Diceros bicornis minor: one gene and its partner. The protein of the gene in region 1 interacts with the protein of each later gene in a pairwise test. Links are inferred from orthologs where the notes say so. Each region holds a gene or a part of one and is shown on either strand. Other genes may lie near its edges.

Evidence for each region.
Region 2: the proteins of SIPA1L2 (region 1) and AP3M1 interact in binary tests that used the Homo sapiens proteins (3 or more experiments, as listed by UniProt). The two-hybrid records come from large-scale screens. The link is inferred for Diceros bicornis minor from reciprocal best matches to the Homo sapiens genes SIPA1L2 and AP3M1.

Annotation. Positions count from the first base shown.
Region 1 is NC_080745.1:23,700,822-23,708,309, reverse strand, and holds the start of SIPA1L2 (signal-induced proliferation-associated 1-like protein 2), read right to left. Parts: upstream 3,162-7,488; 5' UTR 2,924-3,161; intron 1-2,923.
Region 2 is NC_080745.1:32,588,994-32,596,903, forward strand, and holds the start of AP3M1 (AP-3 complex subunit mu-1), read left to right. Parts: upstream 1-4,767; 5' UTR 4,768-5,040; intron 5,041-5,197; exon of another isoform or gene 5,198-5,727; intron 5,728-7,910. Other genes in the region: ADK (adenosine kinase), read right to left, coding at 4,446-4,510. UniProt on the Homo sapiens protein: Part of the AP-3 complex, an adaptor-related complex which is not clathrin-associated. The complex is associated with the Golgi region as well as more peripheral structures.

The DNA of each region.
Region 1 (7,488 bases):
AATTTGGTACATTAATAAAAGTAGAAAATCTGGAACATGGTTCCCTGTATTCTTTAGGACTGTTCATAATTCATTCAAGTTCAAAACAGGAAAAAAAAACCTTTGTTTTTCAGTTAACAATAACAGTCTAAATTTTCTTCAAATTCAGCACCTTTGAAAGGATTTGTAATCCTAAACCACAAGTAGATCATAAATTCAAAGGCTCCATGCCTACCTCAATCTCAAAAAAAACCTTGCATTTACCAATCATGGCTGCAGGGTGGGGGCTAGATCCACATAAACACATAGTTCTTTCCAAAGTATGCAGTAAACACAACCCCTTTTACACTAGTTTTGATGACCAAACACATTTAAATCAGTTTCAATTACCAGATGAGTGCCCTTTCAGGGTAGCTCACTAGTATTTCCTCACTTGCAAGAATAGATAGTCTTACAGAATGAATAACCCATTACTCCTTTTGCCTCAGGTAAAAAGATCCCCAACGTAGACAGGTGTTTACTAAGTTCAGGTATCAAGGAACCCTTGAAAATACCATTCCAGTCTCAAGGAAAAAAAAACTTACAAACCAATATCACATAGCTTTAACTACAATAAGCATCATAAACGTCAAAGTTATGATGCTCTGATAATTCCCCTCTTACATTCCATAAAATGAAAGCTCTTTGAGAAAGGCTAAGATTTAAAAACATAAAAAGCATTTGATGAAAAACATACTTAAACCAGCCAGGGAAAATCTGCGGCCCATACTCCAAAGCCAGAAGCTCCACCTCCCTACCTATAGTTTGTCTCTTGCTTTATTTTCCGGACCAAATGCTTGCAGTGCCTCTTATCCAAGTTCATTTCACTCCATCTATAGGTAGCATGTGGGTACTGATAAAAGCTGTTTCTGATTTCATTTCATTTCCTACTTCCCAGATGTTTGCTGGAGAGTTTTTTTTCCTTCAGCTATTTCTGAATACACTCTAATTTAGAACAAACAAATTCAACATATCATATTTTAAGCTGGGCAAGACACACAAATGACAGCTATAAAGATAATTTCAAGATATTTCTCCAGCTTATAAATAAGTTTGCCTACCTAGACAAGATTTGGACAGGCTGCCAAGGTCTTGCTTTAGAAAAAAAAGTACTTAAAACAGGTAACTGAGATCTCACAGCCACTGAAATGGCCAACTACAGACTACCGTACTTCTCATAAAAGGAGCTGTACTTAGAAATGAAAAACCAAATGTAACTAGGGAGAAAGAAATAAAGGTGTCCCTAACACAATCCTCAGTATGAATCATGCATATATACCTCAACTACATCTCTTCCCCAAATGCATCAATGGAATCTTTAGGAAGAATCAATGCTATCTGCATCCGAAACTCAAAAAAGATTGCACTTTCCCATGATAATATTCTTTTACATCTCTCTGAATCAAGCAGTGAACTACTAAATCAAGCAGTAAACAACCTAAGTGGAAATGTCCTGTAAGTAGAATTCCATGTCTTACCATAGAACTTTGAATTCCTCAAATAAGTCAAAACATGAAACAGACATCCTTAAATCTGTGACTAAAAATAGTAACCAAGTTGTCTCTTGAAATTCACCTTTAAATGCCAGAAATAGTAGGCCACCTTTTGATATCTGCATAAATATTGGTTTTATAGGGAAGTAATGTATTTCAAAGAAAGTAACAGTTTTGGAGATTTTTTTTTCTCCCATTACTAACTGGAAAACTGGAAAAATTACAACCTGGATTGCAGATAGGCAACTCAAAAGCGCAGTTTATTAAATGCCTGTCATAAGAAAGCCATCTAGTGTTAACATTTAGAAATGAAAACTGCAGACAAAAGAGGCAAAGAAAAGAAAAATCTGAGTGACTATTTCGAACTTACTGAGCAAACCTATGAGAATCATCAAGATTCTTTGTTTAAAAAAATAGAAAGGCCATCTTTATCAAAACCAAGTCTAAATCTAAGCAAAAACAAAAATGTCTACAATTTTATTTTAACCAAAATCATGTTTTGGTGACCACACTTCCGTGACCAATGCACTTGATTTTTCCAGTACTCACGCTGGAGTCATCTTGGACTGAATTAATTTAACTGAAGCAGGTTAATGATGACAAATATCTCCCAGAGGGGTAAAGCCAAGTTGTTTTCTCTTCTCGAGACGCATCGGCTCTCGCTCGTAGAGGATGAACTGAAATTGATTCTTTTGGTTTGCGGCACGGATGAAAATTAATCTGTAGGTGCTCGTGGGGATATTCCCAGGACGTGGTCAAACTAGATTTAATAATATGGGGGGACGTGAACAGGACCTGGAGCAGAGAACGGAGCGAGACACAGAGCCTGGGGAAGCGGGAGAGCCGCCGGGACTCCGAAGAAAGGTCGAGGCGAGTTAGCAGCGCGCTCGCCGGCTGCTCGGGATCCTACAAAGGGGGAGCCGGCGCCGGCGGGGGCGCGCTCGTGGCGCATACCTTCCAGGGGAATAAACCCCGCAGCAAGTTCAGCAAGTAACCCTGCCCGGCGCACGGGTGCACCGCGTCAAGGACCCTTTTATCTTTTCTCTTTTCTCTTGGGTTAGTCACAGAGGAGTTGCTGGGCACCCAGAGGAGGTCCTCATTAGTGCTCGTGTCACCAGGACGGGAATAATCTTTCAGCCGATCGATAACTTTGAAAGAAGGAGCGGCGGCGGCTCCTCTTCCACCCGGGGCTTCGGAGCGCGGGCGCAGCTGCGAGCCAGACCCCCGCCCCGCGCCCCTGCCTCGCTGCCCCAGGCACCGCGCTCCGGAGCGCCCGCCGTCAGCCCCTCGAGGCGCCCCGAAGGGCAGCCCCTTGACCTCGGGACAGTCCCCGCCAAGGCCGTCCCCAGACACCACCCGAAGGCTCCGGGGCGGACTCCACCTCGCTCCCATCCGCTCGCCCTGACACGCACCTCTGAAACGCAGTCTGCCGGGACCGGCTACAGCCCGCGAGCGCGTGGCGGCGCGTCCCGGGGCCGCCGCCTCGCCGCCCGCCGCTGCCCGGGGCTGCCCATCGGCCCGCGCCGGGCTCCGGCGGGAGGCGGCCCGGACCTGCCGGCTGCGGCTGGAGCTGTCGGCCTGCGCTCGAGCGGGCAGGCGGGCGGGCGGCCGGGGCGGGGGCGCGGCGCTGCTCCTCCTCCTCCGTCCTCCGTCCTCCTCCTCCCGCTCCGCCGGCTCCTCCCGGGCTCCGAGTCTGCCGCGCCGGCTAGCGACACCGCCGCCCGCCCGCCTGGCGGCGCCGCCCCCCGCCCGCTCCGCGGCCTCTCATTGGCCTCCGCCTGCAGGCCCCCTCGGCCCCGCCCCGCGATTGGGCGCGGGCGCCGTCCGTCCCGCCGCCCCGCGGGGCTCCGGGCTCAGCCGGTGCGCGGTTCCCAGGCCCGCGGCGCGCGGGAGCGGCGCGTCCTGGAGGGGCTCGGGCGTCCTTCCTGGGAGGAGCTGCGGGGCGGGGTGCGCGGCGCCAGGCGACCTGGGGGGAGGTGCAGCCTACCTGCACCAGCAGTCCGGGATAGCCCTCGCCGTCCTCCTCGGGACCCGTTTTCGCCCCTCTGGCAGGAATAAGTTAAAAACCCCGAATCTGGCTCCCAGCAGCCCCCTGCGCAGTCGCGACCCCGCCCGGCCCTCCACGCTCTGGAGTTGGGAGAGACGCGCCTGCCCGGCGCTCGGGTCCCCGCGCCGCGAGAGCTTGAATGTCGCCGGCCGACGAGAGACAGCCGCAGGCGCTGCGCAGGCACCTGCTCCCGGACGCCGCAGGATCGCCGCGGCCGGCGACCGCCCAAACGACCGCCTCACTGTGTTCACGGGAAGACGGCAGGAGGGGCGAGCCCCTACTGTGTCCCGGCCCTGGAGGGCCCCTGAACCGCCGAGGCTATGCTCCTACTGTGTGCCGGCCCCGGAGGGCGCCCCCGGACCACCGAGGCGGTGCCGCTGCACTCAGGGGCTGGGATGGGAGGTTGCATAGACAAACGCATAAAGAAATAGAATGTTAAGATGAGGTCAGGTGGGTGCCAGCGCGCAGGAATGCTGCGGAGAAGAGATCTTCAGGGCCAGGGGAGCGGTTGGGAGAGGCATGCAGTCCAGGCGCCCCCGGCCCAACCTGGGGCCCGCCCACCACTCCCGCCAGGCAGCCCTCAACCCCAGGGAAAAATGTTCTTGGATCTGTATCTCAACGAGGAGGAAATGAAATTTTTATACTCATCTCTTCTACTTTCCTAGGAGATGTTGATCATCCAATAGGAAGCGTTACCTGAAACTATTATATGTAAATTGCTTGACATTTGAATTGGTTACTGAAAGATTGAAGGATCTCAGAAGACTCTTTTAAGCTACACTGGAGTTGACTCTGCTTAAATGGTACAGTGAGAGCCACAACTTACAAGCAGGAATAGGCTGCTTTAGGTAGCTTCTAGCTTACCTTCCAGCCCCTCCATAGGATTTCGTAAGCTGGCTTAAGGTGAGAGAGCTGCGCCGGCTGTTTCCTGAGACTGGATTCAGGACTTGCAGTTCCTCCCTTTCTAGAGGCAGAATTCGTCCTGGAGAGAGAATGTTGTCTGTACTTTCTGTCACAAACATTGCCTAGAACATAACCCTGTGAAAAGTTAGAGGCTGTCCCTCCCATGCTATATTTCTCTGTGATCTAAAGCATATACACATTGTACGATCTTTTATATCTCTTTGTAAAATACGGGTATGAGTATAATAAAACGTCAGAGAGCAATACTATGGCATGACACAATTCCTGAGTTCTCCAGGTTTTCATCAGCTTCCCAACTGTCACCCCATTATCAGAATTTACAAGATTTGTCATTTATTAATTCAACAAACATTTATGGAGAGCATGTAGTGTTCTAGAAGGTGGTAGGTGCGGGGGATATAAAAATGCATAGGACATAGGCCCTGCTCTTCAGGAGGTCACCATCTTACACGTGTGGGTCCTCATACATTGTAGATGCTGTACTAGAGTTATGAACAAAATCCCACAGGAGTGGCCATGAGGGACATTGCCTGGGGGAGCCTAGGGAGGACATACTCCCTTCACAGCACGTTGTCCCAGTACTTCTCCACATCACGTAATCGCACGTTTCATTGTCTTTCCCCCTGTTCTGTAAGAGCCAGGGGGAAAAGAACCACGTCTCCCCCAGTGTTTTGGTTCCTAAGACAGTGACTGCCTGAGTCAACAAGTTGACTCTGAGGTGCAGTTGTCCATTGCCTGATAGATGAGGAGGCCCCTTTGGTGTGTTCCTTAATGTCCAATACATAGTGATCTTCTAAGGAAGTCTGGCCAGACACTCCCAAAGACAATGTTAGCCACAGTGCTCTTCCCCTCCCACCTTACCATCCCTCTTCTTGTGTTTTGCAAACTAAAATTGAAATATCCTAAACCCTTTGGGCCACTATCAAAGTTTGCAGCATTTTTTAAATGCTTGTAATTGATGGTGCAGAGTAAACAGTTGTGTGCACTTATGAAAGTCTGTGAGAGTTTCTGACTTTCCCAGAAACTCAGGTTACATGCAACTGTCCCTCGTCAGAATGTCCCGGGCCTCAGCAAACACATCCTGAGCCCCCTCACCTTGCCTGGCCAATGCTGGACAATGGCGATATGGCCCAGGGCAAGACCCACAAAGTGTTGCCTCGGGGCAGACTGTGAGACACCTTGGACAGACAAAGCTCAGGAATAATTTTGGATCTTTTTCACCAAATGAAATCTTCTAGAAATACTATTAGATGTAATGCTCTTGTCTTCTTCACTGGTCTTCTTCCCAGCAGCCCTCTGATTTCTTGCCTTTTTAGGGAAGGGTAAACTCATGGCGGAGACCGTGGAACTGCCGCACCTGTTAATATATTGCTTCATTATTTTGGCCTTAGATTGACTTACTGAAAAAAATTCTTTTTTTCTGTTAAAGCAATAAATTTCATTGAAGTTTTAAAGAAAAATATCAACTATGACTGGTGAAATTGTTTTTGCCTAAAAGCTAGAGTGAGCTAACCTGTGTTTACCCTCTCACTTTCACCTTTCCTCGGGTCAAGACTTCCTCTCCCCTTGTTCTCTAAGCCTCACTTTCTGTCTCTCAAAAGTCTTTTTTCTCCTGTGAATTTCATCAGGCTATAGGGTTCCTAAAGAAACAGACTCAAGGGATTAATTCTCTTTATAACTCTGAATCAGCACATCAACTCCTTCTGAAATAATTCCAACATCAGTCTTACCTATTTTTCTCTAACAGGTGTGAAAAGGCACAGAGTTCAAAGACATACCAGCTGTCTACACCATTCCAAGATTTTGAGTTTGTTGGCTGACTTGGCTGGCACTTGTATCTATTTACGTTCGAATTCAGCAAAGCAAGGGTTTTATTTCCTTGACATACTACAGCAAGATTCTACTTACAGACAATACGCATGCACTGAAATAAACCTGAATGGCTAAGTTAAGTAAGGGTTTAGATTCCCATCCTCATTTCCTCCTTCTCTTTTCTACTATCAACCCTCTTTTTTAACATATTTCTTTTAAGACAAGTGAATGTTCGTAATTTGCAAGAAATATGTATTGATTGCATACCACATTCAGGGCATTATGTTATACTCAAAGGACCTAAAGGGCTGTACACCAGAGTATGTGAATTTCATGACAAGGAGCAGAACTTGGGAGCAGGTGCTCAGGACCGCCACCGAGTGGCACCCACAGGGAGAGCAGGAGAGTCAATGGTCCACAAGCAAAGCTTGGGCCAGTTGAGGAAGTCTTCACCAAGGATATCAAACCAGCCAAGTAGGGAGGAGAAAAGATAACACTACCAGCAAGAGGAAGCACAGTGAGCAAAGACACAGGAACCAGCTGTGCAAGGCATGTTTGGGAAACAGCCGTGCCCTTTGGCCAAGCAGAGGCTTATTCACTTACATAATAAACACTTATGTGGTGCTTCATCCATGCCAGACCCTGTTTTCTTCTTAGAGGGGAAATCCTCCCACGCGGATGAGCATGGGAGCACGGCCTCACCTGTCTTTCAAAATGGAAACCTCTCACAACAGAAACTTGTTAGGATATGGCCTTGTGAAGTAAAATAAGAAGTGCCAAGTTCTGCTGCAATTAAAAAAAAATGCTTTAGCTACAACTCAGAAAGCTGAGTTACTGGCCTTGGTTGTGAGTCAACCAGCGGTCCTGATAAAAATAAAGTACCTGTTTCCCTTCAAGTGGAATGCTATAGAATAATGTAAGAGATGAAATAATGTGCTAAATATCACATACTATCCATAGGAGCCTAAGAAGAAACCCATCTACAAAACCTCAATTCTGCAAGTATGTTTGAAGGCCTACTGTGTGCTCAGTTCTACTCTGGGAGATGCAGAAGAAGAGTATTACGTGTAAATAATGATACCCTCCTCAAGGAAGTACAATAGGTCTGAGCTGGGATTTTTACATAGGAAACAATCCTAAGAAGAGCGCAATACATTAAAAATGTAATGATGTGTGGACAGGTGCCGTGGGATC
Region 2 (7,910 bases), about 8.9 Mb from region 1:
TCCATTTTCCCTCATAGCTCAAAGCCTTAATCTTAAAGGATTAAATTTGTGAATATAAGTGAACAGCATGCTATTTCATCCAAAAAGAGCCAAACTCAATTTCAGGCTGCGTTAATAAAAATATAAGTTCTAGAAAAGTGAAGGTTATCAGTCCCACCCTATGTTGTGCAGATTAATTCATTCAACAAACATTAACTGAACAGCTCCTAACGACCAGGCACTGTGCAACACTAAGGACACACAATCATCCTTTCTCTTTTCCAGTCTGCATATATTTTCCTTATTTAATCCTCACAATGACCCCTCCAAGAACAGTGTGTTCAGTTTATAAAAATAAAGTAATCTTCCAGAGAATTTTCTGAAAGAGAAAAAAATGTGGTTTGGAAGAAGAGGTTACTGAAGTTGTTGCTTGGTCACCTAAGATACTTACAGACTTTTATTCCTAGGGTTACCATGCAATTTTAAAACACAGGGTCCTTAGTGAGGTACGAGATGGTGGCGGAGGGGAGTCCAAGTGAAATGGTTAGGAAGCAATAATTTGAGAAAAGCTCAACATTTGCTGATTGGAGAATTGCAGTTTGTTTCCTTTTTAGTATTAAAAGTCATGACTCAGAACACTCTTTAATTGCTAATGTCAGAGAAAGTTACAATGTGGGCTCTTAGGATTCAACTCTTCCTAACATCAACTTCAGAGCTTACAAATATTTGCTATGATGAATAAGTAAAGCTATGCCTGAAGAAGATTAGGCAGAACTTGAGAGTGGAAGTAGAGACACTAGTTAGGAAGCCAATACAAAGTCTAAGCAAGACACAGTCTAAACTTGAGTTGTTGCAGCAGGAATGGAAAAGGAAAGGCATTTATAAGACATTACTGAAGAAGAAAAGACCAACTTTGATAACTACATGTGGATGGAAAATGAAGCAAATATCTAAGTTCTAAACTTTGGAGAAACAGCAGTTAGTGGTGCCGTTAACAGATGCAGGAACCATAGAAGAAGGTGCAGATTTAGGACAACAGGTGTATTTAGTTTGGTACATATGACTTCGAAGTGTCAGCAAGACACTCAGAAGGAGATATTGAGCAGATAGTTAAAATTAGGGTCTGAGAGCTGAAGGATATAGAGATAGAAAGATCACACCTGTGAAACCCTCCAGTACAAAGCCTGGAATCCCTACATCTTCTGCTTTAGCCAAACCAAACCATCTGTAGTTCCCCAACAGAGGCAGCTCTCCTCCATCTCCACCTCTAAACAAACATTCCTATAAAGCCACATACCCTACTTTATACCTGGTTTATTCCTTGTCATCTTTCAGAATGCTCAGGTATCATTTTCCCAAACCCTACTCATTTCCCACCAAAAGGGTGGTACCTGAGTCTTACCTCTCTATATATATGTACCTAATATTTAGCACTATGCCTAAATTAGCAGGCACTTAAAAGTCTGACTGAAAGAACAGACTTGGCATGTGCTCAACAAGACTTGGAAGGAACTGTATCCTCTTAGATGTGACCACTAAAGAAATGAACTTGGATGAGATTTCCAAAGGAGAAAAAAGAACTATGTGGTCCTAGATATAGGTAATCATCATGGAACATCTTCATCTAGGGAGCAGTTCCCGAGAATGCTTCTGAACTTTTTTCAGCCCTAAATATCTCACCTGTAACATGGGGATCACTACTGCTACCTCACAGATTGCTGGGAAAATTAAATGAGATAGCATATATAAAGCAGGGAGTATAAAGTCTGGGACTCAACTAATGTTCCCTTCTGTTCCCCAACCCAATGCAAAACATGTTAGAGCCTGCCTATTTCTTTGCAACTTTAGTAACTGCTTTCCCCTGAAAAGCAATCCAACCTAGAAAATAATGGATATTTGAAAAAGAGAGGCTAGACTTGTCAGATGCTTTCCGTAGAGCAGAGTTTTTTCAATCTCAACACAACTGTCAATTTTGGCTGGATAATTCTTTGTTGTAGTGGGCTCTCTGTGCATTGTAGGATGTTTAACAGCATCTTTGACCTCTACCCACTAGATGCCACTAGCACTCCCCACCAAAAATGTCTCCAGACATTGCCAAATGTCCCCCGGGGGGCAAAATTTCCCCTCATTGACAACTGCTACCTCAGAGCTAAATGAAATTCTCACAAAGCTCTAATCCATTCCCTGACATCTACAAATATATCTCATAAATGTATTTGTTCCCCACTCACTGATTCTACACATTAAATTATGCTTAGATTTTATAAGCCTTTCTCCTTAAAAGTTAATCGGAACTGTTAACTAGCCCCTTAACTGTCAAGCAGTCATCAGAGATAATGCATGCAGTCTAACCACTCAGTGCATTATCACACTGCAATCCTTAAAGCCAAACTAATATAATGAAAGTAGGAAGAACCAATTCCAAAAGGTCTTTACACAAAATTAAAAGATTTGTCCCAGTACTCAAGCGTCTCATCCTTAACTTCATGTCTAGAGGTGGCACTAACTAAGTAGATATTGTATAAAATGAGTTTTAGTTGCCTAAGGACTTTTACAAATTTTAAATTACACTAATGGCATATATAAAAATATATATATATATAAAATGCATTATATGTATTTAAGAATTATTATGTATCATATGCCCATATATTGCAACAACATAAAAAGTTATGTACACTAACAAAAAAACAGAAGCAAAAGTAGAGAAACAAAAACTGAGTTAACAGTTCACTAGGGTTTCTGGATAAACTGCTCTAAGTTAATAAGTATAGCATGGTAATTAAGAGTACAGACTTGGAATCAGACTACCTGGATTAAAATCCCAACCCCATCACTTACTAGATAGGTGACCTTGATCAAGTTACTTAACCTCTCTATGGCTCTTTCCTCCCTGGTAAAATGGAGATTATAGTATCTACCTTGTAGGGTTGTTGTGGGATTCAATCAGTTAAAATGGATAAAATGCTGAAACAATGCCCAGCACATACTTAAGTATTAAACATTAGAATTTATCATTATTTTTAAGGATGCATAGGCAGAGAAAAGTGTATCTTGGGTGGCTGTATAAAAATAGGCATAGTAGAGTCAAACAACAATCAACTTGCACGCATATGCTCTGGATCCGTATTTCAGTTCCTTATCTAAGTGTTTAATTTGGGCTTCAATTTCCTCATCTGTAAAACAGGAAACCACTTTGACAATGGATTAGCATAAGGGAAAACCTAAGGCCGTATGTCTAGTAAGATAGTAGGGAAAAGTTGCATCTGTCTTCCAACTCGGTAGAGGAAACTTTATGTAGGAGGTGCCTTTTAAGGAAATATTCTAAAAATGGGCCCAGAAGGGAGAGCACATGCCTCGCACCCAGGTAAAGCCTTTGCTTTACTCTATAGTTTGAAAGCTTAAAATAAAAATAGAACATCTTGAGTTGTTAAAAAAAAGTTTATTTTCTTCGTATAAGGTAGGTACGGGTAGGAGGAATGCATTAAAGGCACTGGTCACTGTCAATTCAAAACAGCATGAACACTCCGCCAGGCCCCTGTGAACTTTTCTTTTCAATTCTGAATGATTCATTCTTTTGGAGGAAAAAAAGGGTAATGTTGGAAGAAACAAGATTTCTCTTTTATAATCAGGAGTGTCCTAATAGTTTTAAATCAATTTGATATGTCTATTTTTAGATTAAAAAACCACTGCCTCCCAACGAACATTTCAAAATCAAGGACTGTGCGCGCTGCATGTTATACTTATTAGGAAGGAATATTTTAGCAAACAACTTTTTACAAGTAAAAGTTGCATCATCAAGCACATGTGAGGCAGGTGTTAGGGGCAGAACTGTCCCCATTGCTGCCAAAACGTGGAAAGAAAAATCAACCTTTCCTATCCATTCAGCCAAAGACGGCCCCGGTAAAGCCTCGGAGGCCGGGTGTATGTCCCTGATAGAGGGTCTTCAAAGGTGCCAACTTTCAGAGTGTGAACGAAAAGAAAGGTCAAATCGTCCTCTTGGGACACTTGACGAAAAATCCCCGATAATTCTTTCTTTGCCTCAGCGTAGAGCAGCAGCTGGGCCTCCTCCTCGTTAACCCCCAGCGAAGAGGAGGCGGCCGCGTATGACTGCTCTGGTCCAATCTCCTCCTCTGGGGGTCACAGTACCGACAGGGAGGGCTCCCACGTGGCGCCCGCAGCCTGGCCACAGCTGGCTCGGCCTTCCCACCCCCACCCCTCGGCTGGCGTTCTGATTGGCCAAAGGCGGCCGGAGTCGCTCCAGAGCAGCGGCGATTCGGCCAAACTGGGCGGGCACCGCTTGAGGGGTCGCAGCCTTGCGGGCAGCTCCCCGAGCAGCCGGTCCTCCGTGTTGGCCCCATGCCCGCAGCGAAGGCACCACCCAGTGCCGGAGCCGCGCAACCCCACGTGGGCCCTGGTTAGCGGCAGACGCCGTCGCCCTCCACCCTACGTCGGGTAGCCCTCACCTCAGCGCTCGCGGCGCCTCCACCTTTAGCTTCTTGGGCTTCCGCTCCTCCTCAGCCGCTGCCATCTTCGCGCTCCCACCCTACTTAAGCTCCAGCCCACGCCCCACCCCTTCGACTCTCTGGCCCCGCCCCCTCCTCGCATCACCGCCTCCTTTCCTCCGAACCCCGCCCCTCCCGACTCCTCTAAGTCCGTGCCTCCCCCACCCACAGCCATTGGCTCTACCCGTCGGTTGCACCAATTGGCTAAAACATAGCCCTCCTGACCCCGCCCACCGGACAGTAGGGGGACCCCAGACTGAGTTAGGCTGCGCATGAGCGCCTGAGTCCATATGGTCAGAAATCGCCCATTCTTCTAGATTCTGGGTGATCTAGAAGATTTAGATCTTAAACATCAAGAGACATCTTTCTTCTCATTCACCGTCTTCCCGCTTGTTTAATCTTTTCAAGACTGTGGAACGAGGTGGTTTCTTTGAAGCTGTCAGTAAGGCAATCTACTGGGCACTCCACCTGCGGGGTCCTCACGGCCCTCGAAGCTTCCTCAGCCTCCGTCCGGAAAGGACCCGGCGCCGAATCACTGACAGGCCCAGGTGTTGGGGTGAGTGTGAGGGGAGGGGAGTCTGCGGACAGGGGACAGCTCGAAAACTGGGGAGTAAGCTGAGTAGCTGTGGCTCCGGATCCCAGGCTGGGCTGCAGGAGTATCTCTGGTGCTGTGGGCCGGGACCGCTCCTCCCTCCCGGCCTTCCGGGCTTCCTTGCCAGGAGGGCCGGAAGGGAGCGGTGCACCTGGAGCCCAGGGTTCTCCGGCCCCAGGCCCAAGAGGTTCAAGCTCTTTGGGGTCCCTCTCCGTGCTCTGGCTCGGGAAAAAGTCTTGTCACCCACAATGAGCTGGAGTACTGACGACTCGGACCTCAGCCCCAGGCTTTTGCTGTGGAGGACAAAACCTCTGACTGACCTGAGCGGACGTCCTGTTAGAGGGTGGCGCCTGGATGAGCCTGGGGTGGGGAATACAGTGAAGAGGGTGTTGCAGTTCTTAGAAGAGAGGTGACGGAAATCTAAACTGAGGAGGTGGCAGTGAGTATGGAAAAGTGATGAGCGATGTGGCTTGCTGGATTTGGTGGATTTGGGTTGAAGCTGAAGCTTATAGCCTACAGGTTAAGAAAGTGGTGCCACTATAAAATTGGGATATATCAAGTTTGAAACCGTGGTTTAAGTGGAGATGGTAGAAAGATTAAAAAGAAAAAAAAAAAAAAGCCTGGAAAGTAAGCCGGAAAGAAATTTTCAAGGTGAGGACCAAATCAGGTGAAGTTTCACATAATAGAGTAAGAAGTGTTCGTTTTGTTTGGGGGAAAGTTATCAGTTATGTGAAATGCTGCAAGGGTCAAAGGAGGAAGTTGAAGTCTGAAAATGGGTCGTTGGATTCGATGATTAGGAAGTCATTGGGCCACTTGAGAGAGCTGCTTTAAATAGAGTAGATTACTGAGAGGAGAGGCTGCAAGTGTAGACTTAATCCTTCTTCATTTGGAGCATGAAGCAAAAGAGTTTTGAGGGTGGCAAGGTCTCTAAAAGGTTTGGGATTTGTTTTTCTAAAGAATACAAGGCACATTATGTTTTGGTGCAGAAAACAAGTAACCAATGTATAAGATTAAAGATTCAAGAGAGATAAGACCTAGGAAAAAAGGGAAGGGAATGGGATCAAAATTACAAGTGGATTGGTTTTGGAAAGAAAGGAGGACACTTTCAGTTGAGACCATGGGAAAAGTGGAGGAATGAAGTGAGTGAAGAAGTACCTGAAATTTACATATCTTTAGTAGGAAAGCTCTCTTTACAATAAGATTAACTTTTCTTGCTGAATGTTAGGATTTTTACAATATTTCTAAACATTCAACATAATATACTATTGGAGTTCCCTGCAGACCAGATGTTTTTAAGTAGCTCTATAATATCTCAATTTATGAGTAGCAAATGATATTTGTAGAGAAAAGGAATTCTCTCTCCCTCTACAAATGTCCTTCTCTCCTATTACACAGAGATAATAGAGCCATCATCTTCCTGCAACCGAATACACAAACCTCCCCTTTTCTTTAAAGAAGAAAAAGGGTCCCTTCTTCTTAGGGAAGGCAAATCCTTTCACTTAGTCTCCCAATACCATCCTTTTCTGTCTTCTCAGGGTCCTCTTTTTTTCACTTATTCCCTCTCTCCTCCTCATTAGCCTTTCCCCCTTTACTCACACCTTTCCTTCAGTATTTAAAAATATTCTTCCTTTATGAACCACTCCCATTTACTTTCCTGTCTTTTCATCCCCTTCACAGCTAGAGTTCTTGAATATATCATCTACTCTCCGTATGTCTGTTTTTCCCACTTTCTCAGCCCACTGCAGTATATCTTGTTTCCATCATTGTACTGAACTACCACTGAAACTATTTTTACTAAGATCACCAATGTCCTCTATGTGTTAAATCATACATTCTCAGTAGGGACAAATATTGCTTGTTGTGAGGCAAAAAAATCATGCTATTTTTATGTATAAAGCACAGATATATTTACAATATGTAAAGAGATATACAGATATATATTCGGTGGTATTAAAATTTTATGGAGGAGGGGTGTGAATGAAGGGAAGTCTGACAAGTCCCCTTAGCAGGCAATAATGAAAAGAAAGTTGAAAAACACTGTTAAATCAACAGTCATTTTCAGTTCTTCTTGTAGCTTTAACTCTTTGTGCTATTTGAAATGTTTACTACTCCAATCTTCTGGTAACACACTCTAGTTACTACAAACCGTTACCCTCCCCCCTTTGTTTCTTATCCCTCTTCAGCCACATCTTCTTAGTTTTTTTATTTTTAGGCCCACTTTATGGACTCAGCTGCTACTCAAATGTTGGAGTTCCTTCCATAGGCTCTCTTCTACTATGCACATTCTCTCTTTGTAGTTTTATTCTTGTAGTTACAATTCCTCTTAACAAACAATCATGATTACTCACAAATCTATCTCCAACTTGGCTTCTCTCTGAAGCACCAGACCTATATATACAATAGCCTTTTGAATATATCCATTTGGGTCAAATATATCCAGAATTGGGGCAGATTATACAGGACCAGGGCTAAATGCCTCATTTCCCTCTCATCTCCTCCCCTTCTACCACCTAATCTTTGCGCAGGCCTAAATATTTCTCTTATCTCTTCTTCTTCTTTTTATTTTTATTTTTTTTGTGAGGAAGATCAGCCCTGAGCTAACATCTATGCTAATCCTCCTCTTTTTGCTGAGGAAGACCTGCTCTGAGATAACATCTATTGCCAGTCCTCCTCCTTTTTTTCCCCAAAGCCCCAGTAGATAGTTGTATGTCATAGTTGCACATCCTTCTAATTGCTGTATGTGGGACGCCGCCTCAGCATGGCCGGAGAAGCGGTGCGTGGGTGCGTGCCCGGGATGCGAACCCGGGCTGCCAATAGCGGAGCACGCACACTTA